2 linked regions of the Styela clava genome follow. The protein of the gene in region 2 interacts with the protein of the main gene of each other region in a pairwise test. Links are inferred from orthologs where the notes say so. Each region holds a gene or a part of one and is shown on either strand. Other genes may lie near its edges.

Evidence for each region.
Region 1: the proteins of U3 small nucleolar RNA-associated protein 25 homolog (region 2) and uncharacterized protein LOC120331579 interact in binary tests that used the Homo sapiens proteins (3 or more experiments, as listed by UniProt). The link is inferred for Styela clava from reciprocal best matches to the Homo sapiens genes UTP25 and MIPOL1.

The regions. Positions count from the first base shown.
Region 1 is NC_135255.1:13,078,712-13,087,109, reverse strand, and holds the start of uncharacterized protein LOC120331579, read left to right. Parts: upstream 1-4,924; 5' UTR 4,925-7,558; coding exon 7,559-7,680; intron 7,681-7,794; coding exon 7,795-7,883; intron 7,884-8,132; coding exon 8,133-8,396; intron 8,397-8,398. Other genes in the region: unconventional myosin-Id-like, read right to left, coding at 1,276-4,299.
Region 2 is NC_135253.1:6,533,143-6,541,054, reverse strand, and holds U3 small nucleolar RNA-associated protein 25 homolog, read right to left. Parts: upstream 3,307-7,912; 5' UTR 3,236-3,306; coding exon 1,121-3,235; 3' UTR 679-1,120; downstream 1-678. Other genes in the region: 18S rRNA (guanine-N(7))-methyltransferase-like, read right to left, coding at 1-678. UniProt on the Homo sapiens protein: Component of the ribosomal small subunit processome for the biogenesis of ribosomes, functions in pre-ribosomal RNA (pre-rRNA) processing. Essential for embryonic development in part through the regulation of p53 pathway.

The DNA of each region.
Region 1 (8,398 bases), on a different chromosome or scaffold from region 2:
GGGAATCTATTCAAAAAAAAAAATGATTGAATGTTTCCAGTTAGATTCTATATGCAGTAACAGACTGGCATATTTTCCTTTCATAAATCAAAACTGAATATCAAAATAACAACAAAACGTGACTAAAAATCAATCAGGACATGATTTTGTGAATTTATAAAGCCATTATAATCCGTCAAGTCAATTTCAGCTGTTGTTCTCTTTCCATATTCAAACTATTTGCAACATATTATTTTGATTCAATCGTTTTATGATGAAATGCATAAAATTATTAATTCCTTTTTTGGTGATGAATCATGAAATATTACATAATCGTGCGCGGCATAGCTAGTCATCAGTATACCAGAGGAATGTGTCATGAAGTGACTTGAAGAATCAATTATTTGGCCCAGAAATACTGGAATACGAATTTATACATTGGCAAAATACTTATACTGCATAATTAGAAGCATTTAATAGAAACATGATCAACCATTGGCTAGATATTATTAAAGTTAATGAAACATCCATAGTATATACAAAATTTGAAATTTAGAGTGCAATGCATACATTCAGGATAGAAATTAATAACACACATATGTAAAAAGTTCTTGAAATTAGACACGTTAAAATTAAAACATAATTAAAATAACCTAGATACATTATTCTATAAAATGTTAATTAAGAAATATAGTCAGCAAAATGGTCAGTTATATTTCATCAAAAATCAAAGAAATATGAAGTAGAAAAGTATCATTTCTTCAATTCTTATAGTATTTTAAACAAAGAATTCGAAGCTACCCTTGTGTAAATGGTAACAAATTTAATAATTAGGTTCTGATATAAAGTCAACAAATATCTTTATGAAGACATTAGACAATATATGATACAACAATTAAAAAAACCTACATACATTATTCTATAAAATGCTAATTAGGAGATATCGTCATCAAAATGGCCAGTTATATTTCATCAAAAAACAAACAAATATGAAGTAGAAAAGTATCGCCCCTTCAATTCTTTCAGTATTTTAAACAAGGAATTCAAAACTTTCATCGTCTACCCTTGTGAAAATGGTACCAAATTTAACTAGGCTCTGATATAAAGTCGACAAATATCTCTATGAAGACATACAATATATGATGTTTTCGATTAACAGCATGGGCTGCCATATTGTTCATATTCTTTACTCTTCATGCATGCATTTTATGCTTACAAGCTTTTGAAAACAGTTTGTGAATACCTGATCAATACATTGTAACAGCTATGGCTGAATCACAACATTCCAAAGTCCTCTCATTGTGTTGATGCAGACAGAGTAAATAAAGCATTATTCACTTTCCTAAAATTGGGATGAGTAGGTCCAGGTTTACCATCAATAGATATTGTTTTGGTTTTCCCACCAAGTTTACATTGAATTTGGGATCCTACATGGACTGGTAACTGCTTTCTCAAATGTCCATTTACAAGCTTGACCAAAACTCCTACCGCTTCTGGAGCACGATCGTCATATTCAGGATTTGTCTTCTGAATACAAAGAACCAAATCATCTGAGCCATCAACATGGATGATTAAAAGTTGATCAGTCCCATTAGACACACTAACTCCTGTGACTTTATCCACCGGGATTCGATTCATTGGTTTGTATGATTTACCTGGATCCAATTTGAAGATGAATTTCTCTGTTACAAGCAGGGCTCTGTCTTCACATTTATTTTTTCTGTTAACCTTACGAACATGAGAAGAAAACTTGATTTCTCCAAAGTGAAACTTTGAGTTGAGTTGATTTGTCTTTGCCGAAAACACAGCAGCTAACGATTGATTTTCAGTTTGGGATGCCAGATAGTTACCTTCCCATTTCCTTTTTCGTAGCCAGTTGGTACGTTTTCCATGTAAAGCTTCATAAGCTGCACAACGAAGTTCAACTGCTGGCCATTCAGATCGCGGAATCCTTTTGACAATTTTGCCGGCTCTCCATTTTTTGTGGATTAGTTTCATGTGGTCAACAAGCTCTTCTAAGCCAGCAGGTGGATGAGTCCAGACAATCCCCTTCCCAAGATCTGGCTTTTTGAGAACACCTTGAAACTTCTGAGACATTTCCAGCAAATAGCATCGCATTTTGTATAATTTGTATCTTCTCATGATTCTGTATGTAGCAACAGTACGCTTATACCTTAGACGAGCGATTCCACCTCTCCACATTTTCTGTAGGAGAATGACAAGCTGTGGAATTAACATCGCTCTTCTTTCTTCCAAGTTGACGAGGGTCTGAGGGGTTCGAATGAAAACTTTTGTTTTTCCATACGCAATATCATCATCAATTTCAATGTCAGTTATTAGAGCTTGTACTGCTTCATTGTCAGTTTCACATTGATGATTCGGCCACGTGAAAGAAGACAGCATTTTATATCTTTGTAGAAACCTTCTGTATGGCTGTCTGTTTGCATAACCAGCTCTTCGAACACGAACATTTTCCATCAATCCAAGATATAATACTTGATGCTTGCATCTATCATAATTGAACTGCACTGGCGATTTCACTTCATTCGGTTTGACACAACGAACGTAATAAGGTTCTTTCGAATTCAGCTTCTGTACAAGAGCAATCATCGAATTTTTGAATAGGGTACCAGCTGTTTGAGGCCTTTTTGTTACTTCTTTGATGCTTTGTGCACCTTCAGGCCACATTTCTTTTATGGTGGGATTCTTGCTATTGTACAGCAATCTTTTGAAATCTTGGAAGAGCTGATCTTTATTTTTGTCCAAGAAATTTTCAACACTGTACTTTACATCTCCTGCGTAATGAAGAATCTGAAAATCTTGATCATGAGTCAGATTTTTATTTTTTGCATCTTTTCGTCTGCTCGTGAAGTGAGCATGATCTTTTAACTTGTTGTCCATTGCTTCTAGAAACATTGAATCAGTGACTTTTCCTACATTGAGGCAAGCTTCGTCACAGATGGCAATAATACCTTTATGGGGTTGCTCAACCAAGTCGCAAATAATTTGATTGTTGAAATATTCAACATTTTGCCATGTTATACCTTCACTGTAATATTCTTCTTGTTCCTGTTTCAACACGAGCTCAATGAAAAGTTGTTGCAATTTTTCATTACAATAATTAATGCAAAACTGTTCAAAACTATTGTTGTCAAAGATCTCAAAGCCGTATATGTCAAGAACCCCAATCAGTGTACTTTTACCATATCTTACAATATCTTGTTTTACTTCAAGGATTGAATTGATGCGGCCCACAATAAATGAAAACATTCGTTCATACATTGCTTTTGCAAAAGCGTCTCTACCATGATTAGCATCTGTCATGTCATGAAGCTTAGCAATGACTTCTCCTCTTGCTGCAACAACACGACTCTGTAAGCTGTCTTCCAATTCTTTTTCACTTACACTTAGCAAATTGGCGATTGCTTTAATTGAATTGCGGTCTTTGACAATCACATTTTCACCAGACATTCCAAATTCAATGTTTCCTAAGAATAAAACTGCAGCAACAATTTTGAAAAGTGTTTTTTGTTCATCATCTTTGAAACCAACAGCTTTCAATGCTGCAGCAACCTCTTTGTGTGTTTTCTTGTCATCAACGTTTCTCACACTATTCGATTGACCTTGGTTAGTGTAAGTATATTTCGATGGGTCTCTTGTTAAATGCAGTTCTTTAATCAGTTGCTCACTTGCACCTGCTAGAAGTTGATAGAAAGAATGGAAATTCCTTTCTCCAATTTGTTGATGAACAACTCTTGATTTTTCCAAAAGATAATTATTGATGTGTCCACCAATAGGATCACCTTTAAAATCAAAGTTGATATCCATATATTTTCCAAAACGTGAAGAATTATCATTTCTATTTGTCTTGGCATTACCAAACGATTCCAAAACAACATTGGATTTTAGCAGGACCCCAGTAACTCGTTCAATTTCATGACGAGCTGATGCATTTGTGATAGAAGTAATGTAATTCATTATAATTTTAGATGCCTCTGTCTTGCCAGCTCCAGATTCACCAGAAATCACAATGCATGTATCTTTTAGATATCTCTTCATAGTGCGATAAGCAGCATCTGCGAGAGCATAAATATGAGGAGGCCGTTCCCAAAATTCCTTGTCTTTGTATTCTCTCACTGTTTCTGGGGAGTAAATATTCATAGATTTGTATGGATTCACTGACACAACCACTTCTCCAATATAAGTATAAATACGACATTTTTCAAATCGTAGTTGGAGATTTTTCATGAACTCTTCGATGGTTAAATCGTCCAGGAGAACAAAGTCTCCTTTCCCGAATTCTGGTCCCTCAAAACTCATGGTGCTGAGAGATTCCAAAAAGCAGGAGATATTGATACAGGTTCCCAAATAAAAATGAAATATAAATATGTAGTCTTAAATATTAATCTAAGAAATATATATTTGTCAATTACATTACTATGTCATTGCTAGCGAACCTAAAACTAATTAAGGACGAGTTACAGGATTTTTCTTCCTTTTTTAAATGCACTTTTTTCAGTACATACACTAGCGCACTATGCTGCTGTGCCAAAACCTACATCGTCCAACAAATGACTTTATTTCGAATTTCCCTTACAACAAAACATAGAAGCAATACGGGGCAAAACAAACAAATATACAGAAAATCAGGAAGGTAGGCAAAATCTACAAACGATTCAAAACATGCTGATGCACGTACCACCCCAAACAGAAAATAACACATTAAAGTAAATTGAAAAAAATGAATGAAAGCTAATTCCTACAGGGGTGGTGACCCCTCTACGGCCCATCAGAAAAAATTCAATTATCTTACCAAAATTTTCAATTTTTACAAAATTGTCAATATTGGAACCAAAAAAAAATTGCAGCATGCCACCAAACCTTTTACTTGCGATAAGCCTTTTCATAAAAATAAAGCAAAATACCAAGCTACAGAAAAGGATACACGGAAGTATGTGTGCCAGGTTAGGGTTAGGACAAAATTTTGTTCAGATTTTTCACATTCAGACATAATAGTTCTATTATGAGTTCAGGGAGTGGGTAGGATTTACATATTTATTAGTCTTTATTATTTTATCCCTTTACACAACTTGATGGGCCGTGGCCCATAGCCTGATGGGCCGAGGCCCATTTCGATGGGCCGTGGCCCCGGCCCATGGTTCGTAGAGGAGTCACCACTTCCACTCGATAATTCGGGCATTAACACTTGGGTATGAGGTTTGAACATGCGCTACTATTTCTACTATATTGTATACAAGAAAATAATGATAAGAGTAGAGCACAAAAACAAACAAGCGGTGTACAATATGTGATACTGGACGATAAACAACAAAAATAAAGGCAGCGGTAAAGTAAACAACAAGAAATGAAATATGATAAGAGCATTCCGTGAAGATAAATGCCCCGACTTTCAAACTTTAGCAGAATCAAAATCAATGTGCTTTGTAAACATGTACTGTGCAAGCAGTCTTTTCATGGAACAAGTTACAAAACAACACACAAAGATCACTCAATGACATTTTCATATTGCTATGGTAGACTACCTACTGACCTATGACTAGTACCAGTATCCTTGATATAACTTACTATGTCATCTCCGAATTCCAAAAAAATATAAACTTCAAATTGGGTCTTTCTGAACTTTCCAAATTACTAACTTACGGTAACATTACAGCATTAAAAATAACAAAATAATAAAGTCTGAAAGTCTAATATAAGACAGCTTAAATTTATATTTCTGACCCTTTTTATGTATTAATTATTTCTAGATTATTTAAACATAAAAATATGGGTGAGCACAACTGATAATAAACCTGGTCTATCCCTGGACTTGTTACCGGTACCGTATCGCAATGACTACGCCCAACTCGGCAAACACGACGTGAATTACTGAGCTGATCTGCGCTTTGTCGCTGTTGCCTAGAGCGGCAATTTTAAACTAATTTAGGCGCATCAAAGGATGACATAATACTAGAACAACAACGCATCGAGTCGAAATTATATAGACTACAATAATCTATTCGCAGGTAATGAATACAACGTTACAAAGCCCAGGCATAGTGTATACTGTTATTTCAATAGGTCACCTCGGGCGCCGCGCATTGCCATCACGCCTACTTCATAATTCATAACATCCGCCGCCTTTAGGTGACGTAATGCGTAACGCGCAGCCGGCACATGACGTATTTGCACATACACTCAGTTACGCAAACTTCCAATATTTGCGATAGATCACGCAAGGCCGTTAAGAACAGCTAGGAAGTAAATGGTGACACCACGCGAGATTCTGCGCTGCATTTCTCGAGCATGATATTCGAGCATATAAATTATAAAATATGTGCATATAAGGCAATAAAATTGAAATAAAAGAATTGAAACATATCTGTCTTATCCCGCGAGATATAAATGAAATTTTCATTTCACATCACATCAGCAAGATTTTATATTGTAAACGGCTAAAGGTACAAAAACGTTCGGACCTAAAATATACATTTATGCTCTATAAAACCACCAAATTAGAGAACATAGATCATATATTATGGCCTCATTTGATAGCGATAAATTTATCACCATTGCCCGACCTATCTACAGATTATTATATCAAATTTTCTCTTTGATATACGAGTAGTTAGATAGGTCTTTATTGCTACATGACATTTAGCAGTAATAATAAACGATTGAAATTGTCAGCTGTTTTCCCATGGCCGGCTCCTTTTCGTCGACGCAATGTGATATCGCCAGGCAACAAACAACGCTATTCACAGGATCAGTTTCGTGAGAGATCAGTGATCAATACAGAGGGATTATTGCTTTCAGCGTGAGCATGTGCGAAACAATCGCTTTGGAGAAACAGATGAAATCGGGTCGTAAAGTTATACAGTGTCATATTTATTACGTTATTATTTATTCAGAGTGTTATTTCCGTTATATAATAGTTCACAAATTAAATGAAGTACGTAAAATACTGCCAGGAATCTGCTTGAAGAAAGCTATTTTGAAGGGCCAATTACCGTTATGACTTTTTCAGCTTTATCAAAATGCTAATTTAATATACGTAATACAAGACCACTATTATCAGAAACTTACTGCCCAAAAGATCACTTCAAACGCCGAATTCCTTTGCAATGCACCCAAAACTATTTATTATTTTTCACTGTTGCACTTATAATTAAATATTGTTTCTGCGTTTGGGAATTCTATTTCCTTTAAAATATTAGAGTAAGCTTACTATTTTTGACGAAATTTTACAGAAACACGGTGATGCCCATAATCGACATACAAATTACGGTAATATGCCAAAGTAAACATATTTTGTTTATAAGGTATTTGGTTTTTAAAGCGATGGGAAATGAATGAAACAGAATATTTAAGAAAGGAATGAATTACAGCAATAGCACTAAAAATATATATAACTTGATCATCGCATCTGCTAGAATAGATATTTGATGTTTAGGTGGACTAAACCTCTGCTGGTCTTTTGATTTTTTAGCAGCTCATAATTTCTAACATCTGGTTTGGTAAAATGCAATTAATTTTGTAATTTGCCTGTCACTTGATTTGATGGTTAAAAATCAGATTGATGGAGGGTATTGAAGATTACAGTGGTCATGCTGATAAAGTTTTGTCAGATTTAAGAGATGCTGTTGTAAATGCTGATGACAAGTTAATCCAGTTGCAAAAGGAACTTGACAGCCTGGAAAGGTATAGTTTTAGATAAAGTAATAGAAATAATAGTCTAATTTTTATAAAGTCGTATTAAGCTATTAAATATTGTGATCAATGGATGTAATTAATATACCAATATTTGTTATTCAGGAAAGCATTAGAGAAAGACCATGACTACGGACATCACAATAGCAAAAGTTCAGACTTGAATGATGACGACATATCAAAATATTTGGAAGGTAATGCTGTCGTAATTCATTGCAAAAGATTTTGTGACAAAATCAATTGTTATAGGAAAATTGTTTAGTTGGTAATCATGGACACACAACTTTCAATATCAAGATTGCACTGTGCTAATTCATTACATCTGTTTTTGCCATGTATTGTATATTTATTATTTTGCTGCACAGTATGTAAATGAAATTTTCTAACACAAAATGTTAAGCAATAATTTTTGTTTTTGATTGTGAACCAATTATTATTTTAAGACTATTCTGAGGAAAATACCATAGATGACAGCATTCTGACATCTCTGCGTTCATCAGCATCACTGAGTTATGCCGCTGCAGCAACGAAACCATTTGAAACATATCAGAGTCAAAGTAAACCTGCACCTGCCAAATCCATCAATCAATTTTCAACACCTGTAGAAAACAATAAAACTAATGAAAGTCATTCCAATAAATCAAACGAGGATGAAATGAATGAAAGATGGGGTTGCCTGAGAAATGTTTTAGCAGAAGACAATTCAGGT
Region 2 (7,912 bases):
AAATAAGCACAAAAATATTTTCTTCGCTTTTGTGCTGTTAGGATAGTCAATGATAACACCACCACTAAACCCAGCTCTCGTTGCTTGTGTTGTAATAAGTTCCAGTTGACTGGGGTTTTCTGGGTATAATTGAAACACTGCTCTGCTACCTTGTCTCATAGCAGAATATAAAGTGGAGAAAAAATTATAAAGCCTTTTGGGAGGATTATGGGATTTTACATTTGAATAACATAACCACTGAATCGCTGATATACTGATTACACCATCAAATGTTCCAGGTTTAAAAAACAAGCCTTCACCAGCATCGGCATTTATTATATCACCTTCCACTTCACGTTCGACAGCAACATTGAGCATTGCTGTACTGATATCAAAACCAATCCAACAATGTCCCATTTCTGTTATAGTTTCCCCACTTAATCCAGAACCACATCCAACATCTAAAATAAAACATGAACTATCCTCTGGCAAATTGAGTAACTCCAGAGCACGTTCTGTCATCTTTGCCTGGATCTCCATCATTCTTGAGTTTGTAGTATATTTTTGTGCCTCATTTTCATTGTAAAATATCTCGGGAGGAGCCTGAAGTTCAGGCCTTTTGTGAGATGACATTTTTATATTTACATTAAATATATGAAATCTAAATAAAACAGAAAATATGAAATTACTGAATCCCATGAATGAATTAGGTCCATCCAAGTTTAACTTTAAGTATTGACACTTCTATACACATTTTATGACATATATTCTCATAGATGATATGGCCTATTAAGTTGATGAATATTTGCTTAAGACAAGTGGCTTTAGCCTTTATTCACAAAAATCAACGGTCATAAGGTTTTATTTAATTATTACACCAGCCAACACATTGATATACTCCCCAGACAGGAATAAAATGTATATGCTCAATGTGACTTGAGAATTAAGTAGCGGGTGATGTTGGATAGCTTGGATGAAACCGTGTTCCAACTAGGGACATGAGTAAGAGGCTTCATTGAAGGTGTGGAAGGCACCAAATAACACAAAATTTCATAACTTTGGGAGAAAGAGAGTCAAAAAACACATTGAATATAGCCCATTATTGGAAAATCAACAAATTGCCAACATAATTAATTATATATTAATCGTCATTTGTCCCAGCAACAAACATATGAACAGTTCTTGTTGAAGTTTGCAATTGACGACAACGGGACATTCCAACTGTGGAAGCAAGTTTTTGGGTATCGAATTTTGTATACATAACATTTACTGAACTAGATGAAGTAACTCCATCTCCTTGGTGTGAATCTCTCACCATGTTACACAATTCTACATAGAACAAAGGATAAGTTGGCAATTCATAAAAAATAAGATGCCGCATTCCCCGAATTCTTGCCCTGTTATAAAAATGAAATCTTTCAGTATAAAGCATTAATGGGCATTTTCCCGTATAAAACCGACGTTTGGTCTTGTTAGCAGCGGATGGTGTGCTGTAGTCATTTATATGACCAAATATGGGTCCAGACCCCTCTTTTTTTTGTTTTCTCATAAAATTACGAAGACGGACAAAATCAAAATATTGTGGTACATAAATCAGGGTATGTGACATGCTTGGGTCCTTGTACTGCTTATATAATTTATCAACAAAGAAACGAAAGCGTGCTTCTGAAGACTCGACCAAACTTGGTGCGGAAAGCTTGTGGAATACTTGTGGAAGTTGCTTAGCAATAGCACATATATTACCCTTTTCTGGAATATTCTCTGTTTTAACAAAGCCCTTATAGTTGCAACACCATTTAGTAAAGATAGATGATATCTGTGGCAAGTGTACATTCGATATTACTACAGTTTGTCTGTAAAATTTGTTTCTACCATCCAACGAAAAATTTCTAACTCTTGAAAAGTCTACACCATGTGAATCTTTTGGTGTAATATTCAAATGCTCAAATATATGTAAAACATGTTCCCAATTCTGCATTAAGAACACATCAGTTTGGTCCATAATAACAAGTTCAATAGATGACAAGAAATCATGTTCATGGTGTTTTTCTCCTTCAGAACCAATTACTGTTCTGAGTCCAAGTGGTGATGCCACAATAATATCAGAGGAATAGAATGGTGAGTAAAGGCGAACTGAGTTTCGTAACAGTGCTATTCCAATTCGAAAATGTTCATCTGTATTTCCAGCAAATAAGCATTGATAATCTTCCGGCTTTTTTGAAAAACCTCCATCGATATCATCTTCACTCTGGCTAAATTCATCGCGAAATCTTTTCTTATAACTGACTTCAAATTTATCGCCTTGCTTGAATAATTCCAACATGATATTAATCACTCTCAATGCAGTTTCCTTGAAAGGAACTAAGATTAAAACTTTTGGTCTTGTGATACCTTGGTCTCGATATTCAGATTGTTCACGTTGTTCCGGAGTCATTTTCCTTAATCTGGATGTGTTGAGTAATACTTTGGCACGAGATCTAATGACATGATTTACAGCATGAAAACAATATACACCTTGAATAGATGATGACGTATTAAGAAGATTTGTATCTGTATAAGACACATCAACATATGAACTCAATAGCGTGAATAGCTCTTTTTGCTGCAAGTTAAACAAATCATTGTGTTTATCTTTTTTCGACTTTGTTTTATTTCTTTTATCAAATTGCATCCAATTATCAATTACAATTTTTCTGATATGATATGTTTGTCTATAAGTTTCAATGTTTGTGTTTTTCTTGATTGGAACTTTGGGAAGAAATTCATTTGTTGCTGGATCTTCAGATCGATTCATAAACTGAATCTTCCCTAGCATGGGCCATTCCAAAGTATCTCTCCTTTGAGGTTTGTTCTTTTCTATATGTTGTACAAAATAATCAATATTTGTCTCAAGATGTTGTTTGTAATAATCACAACTGAGATTCTTAGATTTATCAAAATTGTCTTCATCATCAGACTCACCAAATATCAATATTTCAGCAGAGTCGTTATTGTCATCTTCATTTTCAGAATCACTGTTTTCCATAAGAACATCAGTTACATCTTCGTTGTCCTCAGATTCATTAGAACTGTCATCCTGTGGCTGGCTTGATGATTTCTTTTCAAGGATTCCTTCTTCTAACTTCTGCCTTTTAGGGATAACATTGTCATCTTCAGAATCAGTTTCTATTTCTTCTTGGTGATTATTCGTTTTAACCAAAGAAATCAAATCCACATATGGATGTGAAGATTCATCCTCTGATGAAGATTCTGACATTTTAGGCTTAAAACATTTAATATCTACATGCCATGGAAAAATCACTCATTAAATTTGGTGTTAATGGTAGGATTACATAATAACAGTCCGTGATTCAGCATACTAATATAACAACAAAATCCACATGTTACGTAGGTAACACTACATAGGTTAGGGTACAGGGGTATATAGACTATATATAGAGCAGAGTCGGCCAACCTTTTTGGCCCACGGGCCATATTTAGTTTACTAATAATTGCGCGGGCCACTTAACATAGTAATTATATTCTAGTTTTGCTACACTGACCAAAAATTTATAAAAAAACAAACAAAACCCTCGCACCAAACTTTCTCAATAATAAGAACAATGAAGAAAACGAAGATACAGTAAAGTCAACAAAGTTTTTTCTACACGTAGACATTTTAGTGTGAAGTTTGGCACTGTTTTTCACTGAAAAGGACGATGTAGCAATGCGAAGCCAATTTTCCATATGACTGTCAGAAATTAGTGATCTCAGAGGGAATTTGACATGGTTTATCTGTGAAAAAACTTGCTTGTACGAGTACGTGCTGCCAAATATGAGGTCATTAAAACTGCCATTCTGCCCAAGTGTGTAAGCTACTATTTATGTATCGATTTCTTCCAGTTGGGGATGGGCTAGCAGAGCGCATTTCAGGAAAATAAACAAATTGTTTGTATCAAATCTTCATATTAACTACATCACTCGAAAAATAGAAGTTTTACTCAATTTTTTTTTATTTCGAAAATACAGCGCGGGCCACTCAAAACTCCTCGACGGGCCACATGTGGCCCGCAGGCCACGGGTTGGACGACCCTGATATAGAGAGAAAGAATCAACCAGAAAACACATAATAATAACAAAATACGGATACGACCATTTACGGTCATCTGAGTCAGTTACCACTCATGGCTGCATGGCAGCAAAAGATAAAAATAAATGAATGGGTCTCGACAAAAGATAACCATATGGCTTTCGCAGTTCAGTCCGTAGTTTGTTGTTAAACGTGCTCCATTCAAACTATGGGTACCTGTACTCACGCATTTCTGCATTTGGGAATCGTCGCAGTACCGGTATTTCTGTATTTGGGCACTGATCAGAATACCGGTGTTATGGCACTAACTTTGAACTTGTTCATTTATGACCAAACCATACCGGTGCATGCAGCCCACTCACACAACCAGCAAATCTACGAATCTACAGCATCTGCTACGGTACGCTATGCGCTATATCACTGCGTTGCACATGCTGGAAAAACAAACACAGAAGGCGCGCGTGGACATCTGGCAAACTTCACAATTTCACATACGGTACATAGAAAAAAGTGGAGTTTACTAGATCAGGAGTTCTCAAACTCTTGGTGTTGCGGAGCACTTGAAAGGTTGAATATTATTCGCGGAGCCCCAAAATAAATGTTAAAATTGTTACTTTTAGATTAATATTCCTGAGCAAGGTAAAAGTACTTTACTTCACTAGTCATAAATAAATTTAAATTTTATACTAAAGCTGTAAATTTGACACTTGACAAACATATTAATAAATTAGGGGTCGAATCTTTTCCCTTTTGACATTTTTGGAAGACTTAAAAGGCCGCTAATAATGTGCGCAATTTCATTTTGTTACAATCGCCGATTTTTTCGTCAGTTTCAAACGTCTTTACGCCGGTGTTTATTCTCCCTAAATCAAAAATTTTCCTCGGCATATACATGTATTGTTACACAATGACGACGTTAATTGCTTTTTTGTTCTCGTGGGGAGTTCAATGTGAAAACATGTTACCATATTGTAGTCATCGGCGACGGAATGCTAAAAATAATAAAGAGATAAATCCGCAACTCAAATTTCTTGATAGAAAAACGGCATTCTAAAATAATAAAACTGAAACTTTAAATGGAAGATCACACGTTTGGTTTCAGCAGACTCACCTCAGATTGAAAACGCTTTTATAGACATTGTAAATCTCAAAATTTGGTGTTATGTTAGGTTTTCATCGTAGTACCTGCGGAATCGAAACACAGTCAATTGTGCGCTCGATGTACCTTTTTTCCCATTCTGAAACTACCGACGGAGCCGAATGCAATAAAATAAATTTCAATTGTTCGTATTTTGCCCAGACATTGTGATTTTTTAAACGGCGATATCTTGCTTAAAAATAATCTCAAGTGCAAAAGAACAAATCAAGTTTGACAAATCCCAAGATCGCAAAAATACGACTCCAATTTATATATAGTTGGCAGTTTATCACATATTTTATGTTATTTTAGAATAGTATTTTTTCCTTTTAGCAATCCTAATGGTAATCTCGAATCAAACGTGAGTAATGATGAGCACAATTACATTATATAACGACGAGACACGTTAAATGCTCGAATCGGTCATGAATTGAATATTTTACGCAACAGAAATCTTGTTATCCGTTTTTTTAATCGCGAAGAATGTTGCGCGGAAATTTCCGATTCCAATTTTGAACCACCTCCCTCTTAAGAATCCTGGCTGCGCTCCTGCTTATAAATAATGTCATTTTTTAATTCCGCCTCTTTACCATATTTCGAAGCTATATCGTTGTCAGATTTTATCAAAGCTGTTATTGCTTCTTTGAACAGTTACAAAATTTTGAGTCAGTATTTTGAGGAGTAATCGAATAGCTCGCGGAGCCTTTGGGTTTTTCTCGCGGAGCCTTTGGGTTTTTCTCGCGGAGCCCTGGGGCTTCGTACGGAGCACTTTAAGAACCTATGTACTAGATCAGGGGGCACCAAACTTTTTTGACCGCGGGTCGGGTATGACTCAAACTGTGTTGAAACGGGCCGGACAAATATTTTTGTCAATGCAATACAATAAATTCACAAAAATTGGGAAATCTATTCAACAATATATATTCTACATTTCTGAAGACTTGAATATTAAATTCTATATATATCGCAGAATATAGATCGAGAACATCCTAGGAAAACAAATATACAAGATTTCTATATATAGACGACAACCCTGAGTTTAGCTGTTATCAAAACGTTGCACGACTACGGACTGCCTGCTGTAGCATGGAATTCCATGAAATTTCGACATAATTTAGATAAAATAAACAACTATTATCTGGTATTTGATTTTTATTCATTAGAGCATAAATTTCCCAACATTCGGAGCTTTTAAAATTACGCTCAAGTTATACGTGGTGCAAATTAATGATATTGTCTATGGACACCAATAAAAATTATGTGGACGTGTGTATTTCTTTCCTGACTTGATACATGATACTTACCAATTTTTATGGAGTTTGTACAACCAGAACATCGTTAAATTTTACCCATAATGAACCACCGTCAAACATCATGCACAACTCCAGCGTTTATTTGCGACGAACTTTCGGCGGTGTCAAGACCGTTGCCAGAATAAAATCATGAAATAGTCTCAATATTCCATAGATGTGGCGCAGATTGAAAGGTTAGTGATTGATATGTGTTTTTTTCATATTTATTACAGTTCTTATTAAAAAAGCTTTTTATAAACTGGATATTGTTTTCTTATTTTCACTCAGATCTATCCACTGGCGCAGTTTTCATTCAAATCGGATGAACTTTATTTTTTTTTTGTAACTTACCTACATGAATATCCGCATTTAAGCAGTACAAAAATTAGTGTGCCTTGTGAAATTGGAGCAATACGCGAGGGATTACAGTACTGTTAGCGCAAAATGCACATTCGACGTTCATTTTAGCACGAAGACGTAAACAGTTTCGGCGAGTGCATCTTTCGCAGAAAACGTTGCCTCCCGGTAGAAAATTTTAGCCTATTTTGTCACAGCTATTTCTTAGACTAATTTTTCATTACTACTATTAAAACTACAACTCCTAAAGAGGCAAATGATGATTGACTTATTTGATTGATACTTAAATTTCCCAAACACAACCAAAAACTAACGAATAGCATTCAGAATCGCAAAAACGAAGTATTTTTTACAACCACGACTGAAAATCTGTCAGGGTGACGAAAGTGTCTGAGCGAGAGAGATTTATTGATTCGTCAACCACAACAAATATAAATATGAAAGCATAAATACAAATAAATAAACACTGTTTATGGTAAAGACTGGAGGGAGCGATACGACCATACGGTCATCCAAGTCAGCTCCCCCCAAATTCACTGTTATGCATAAGATTCCCAGGTAATGGATGACTATGAGTGTAACGGCTAATTATAGAGTAATATACACTTAAATAATTGTAAAAAGCACAATTACAAGGGGCTATTGATTTAAGTTAGTTATCACGCTCATATGATCATTGATCCATGCATATTAATTACTAGGGGTCTGGAGAATTACTAATATGGTGAACAAATTGTGGTAGTTATACCCAATGAGCGTATTTGGATAATTATTATGGTAAATGAAAAGGAATATAAGTGAAAAAAATAAAAAATTAAAATATTGGATTTACGAAGATAGGATTAACTTTGGTTTATGAAAAACAATTGAAACACAATATGAATATGGAGGTCAATTTCAATGACTACTGAAAGGGATCTTTCAAAGTACAAGAAGGGGGTTTGTAATCAAATATCTAAATAACTAATATCATTAATTAACAAAGGATGAAAAATAGAACTCTGAAACCAAATCGGGGTCTGTAGAGAGCGGATGCCAAAAGGCCCACTATTACGTCATTTTTTTTTGCATCTTGCT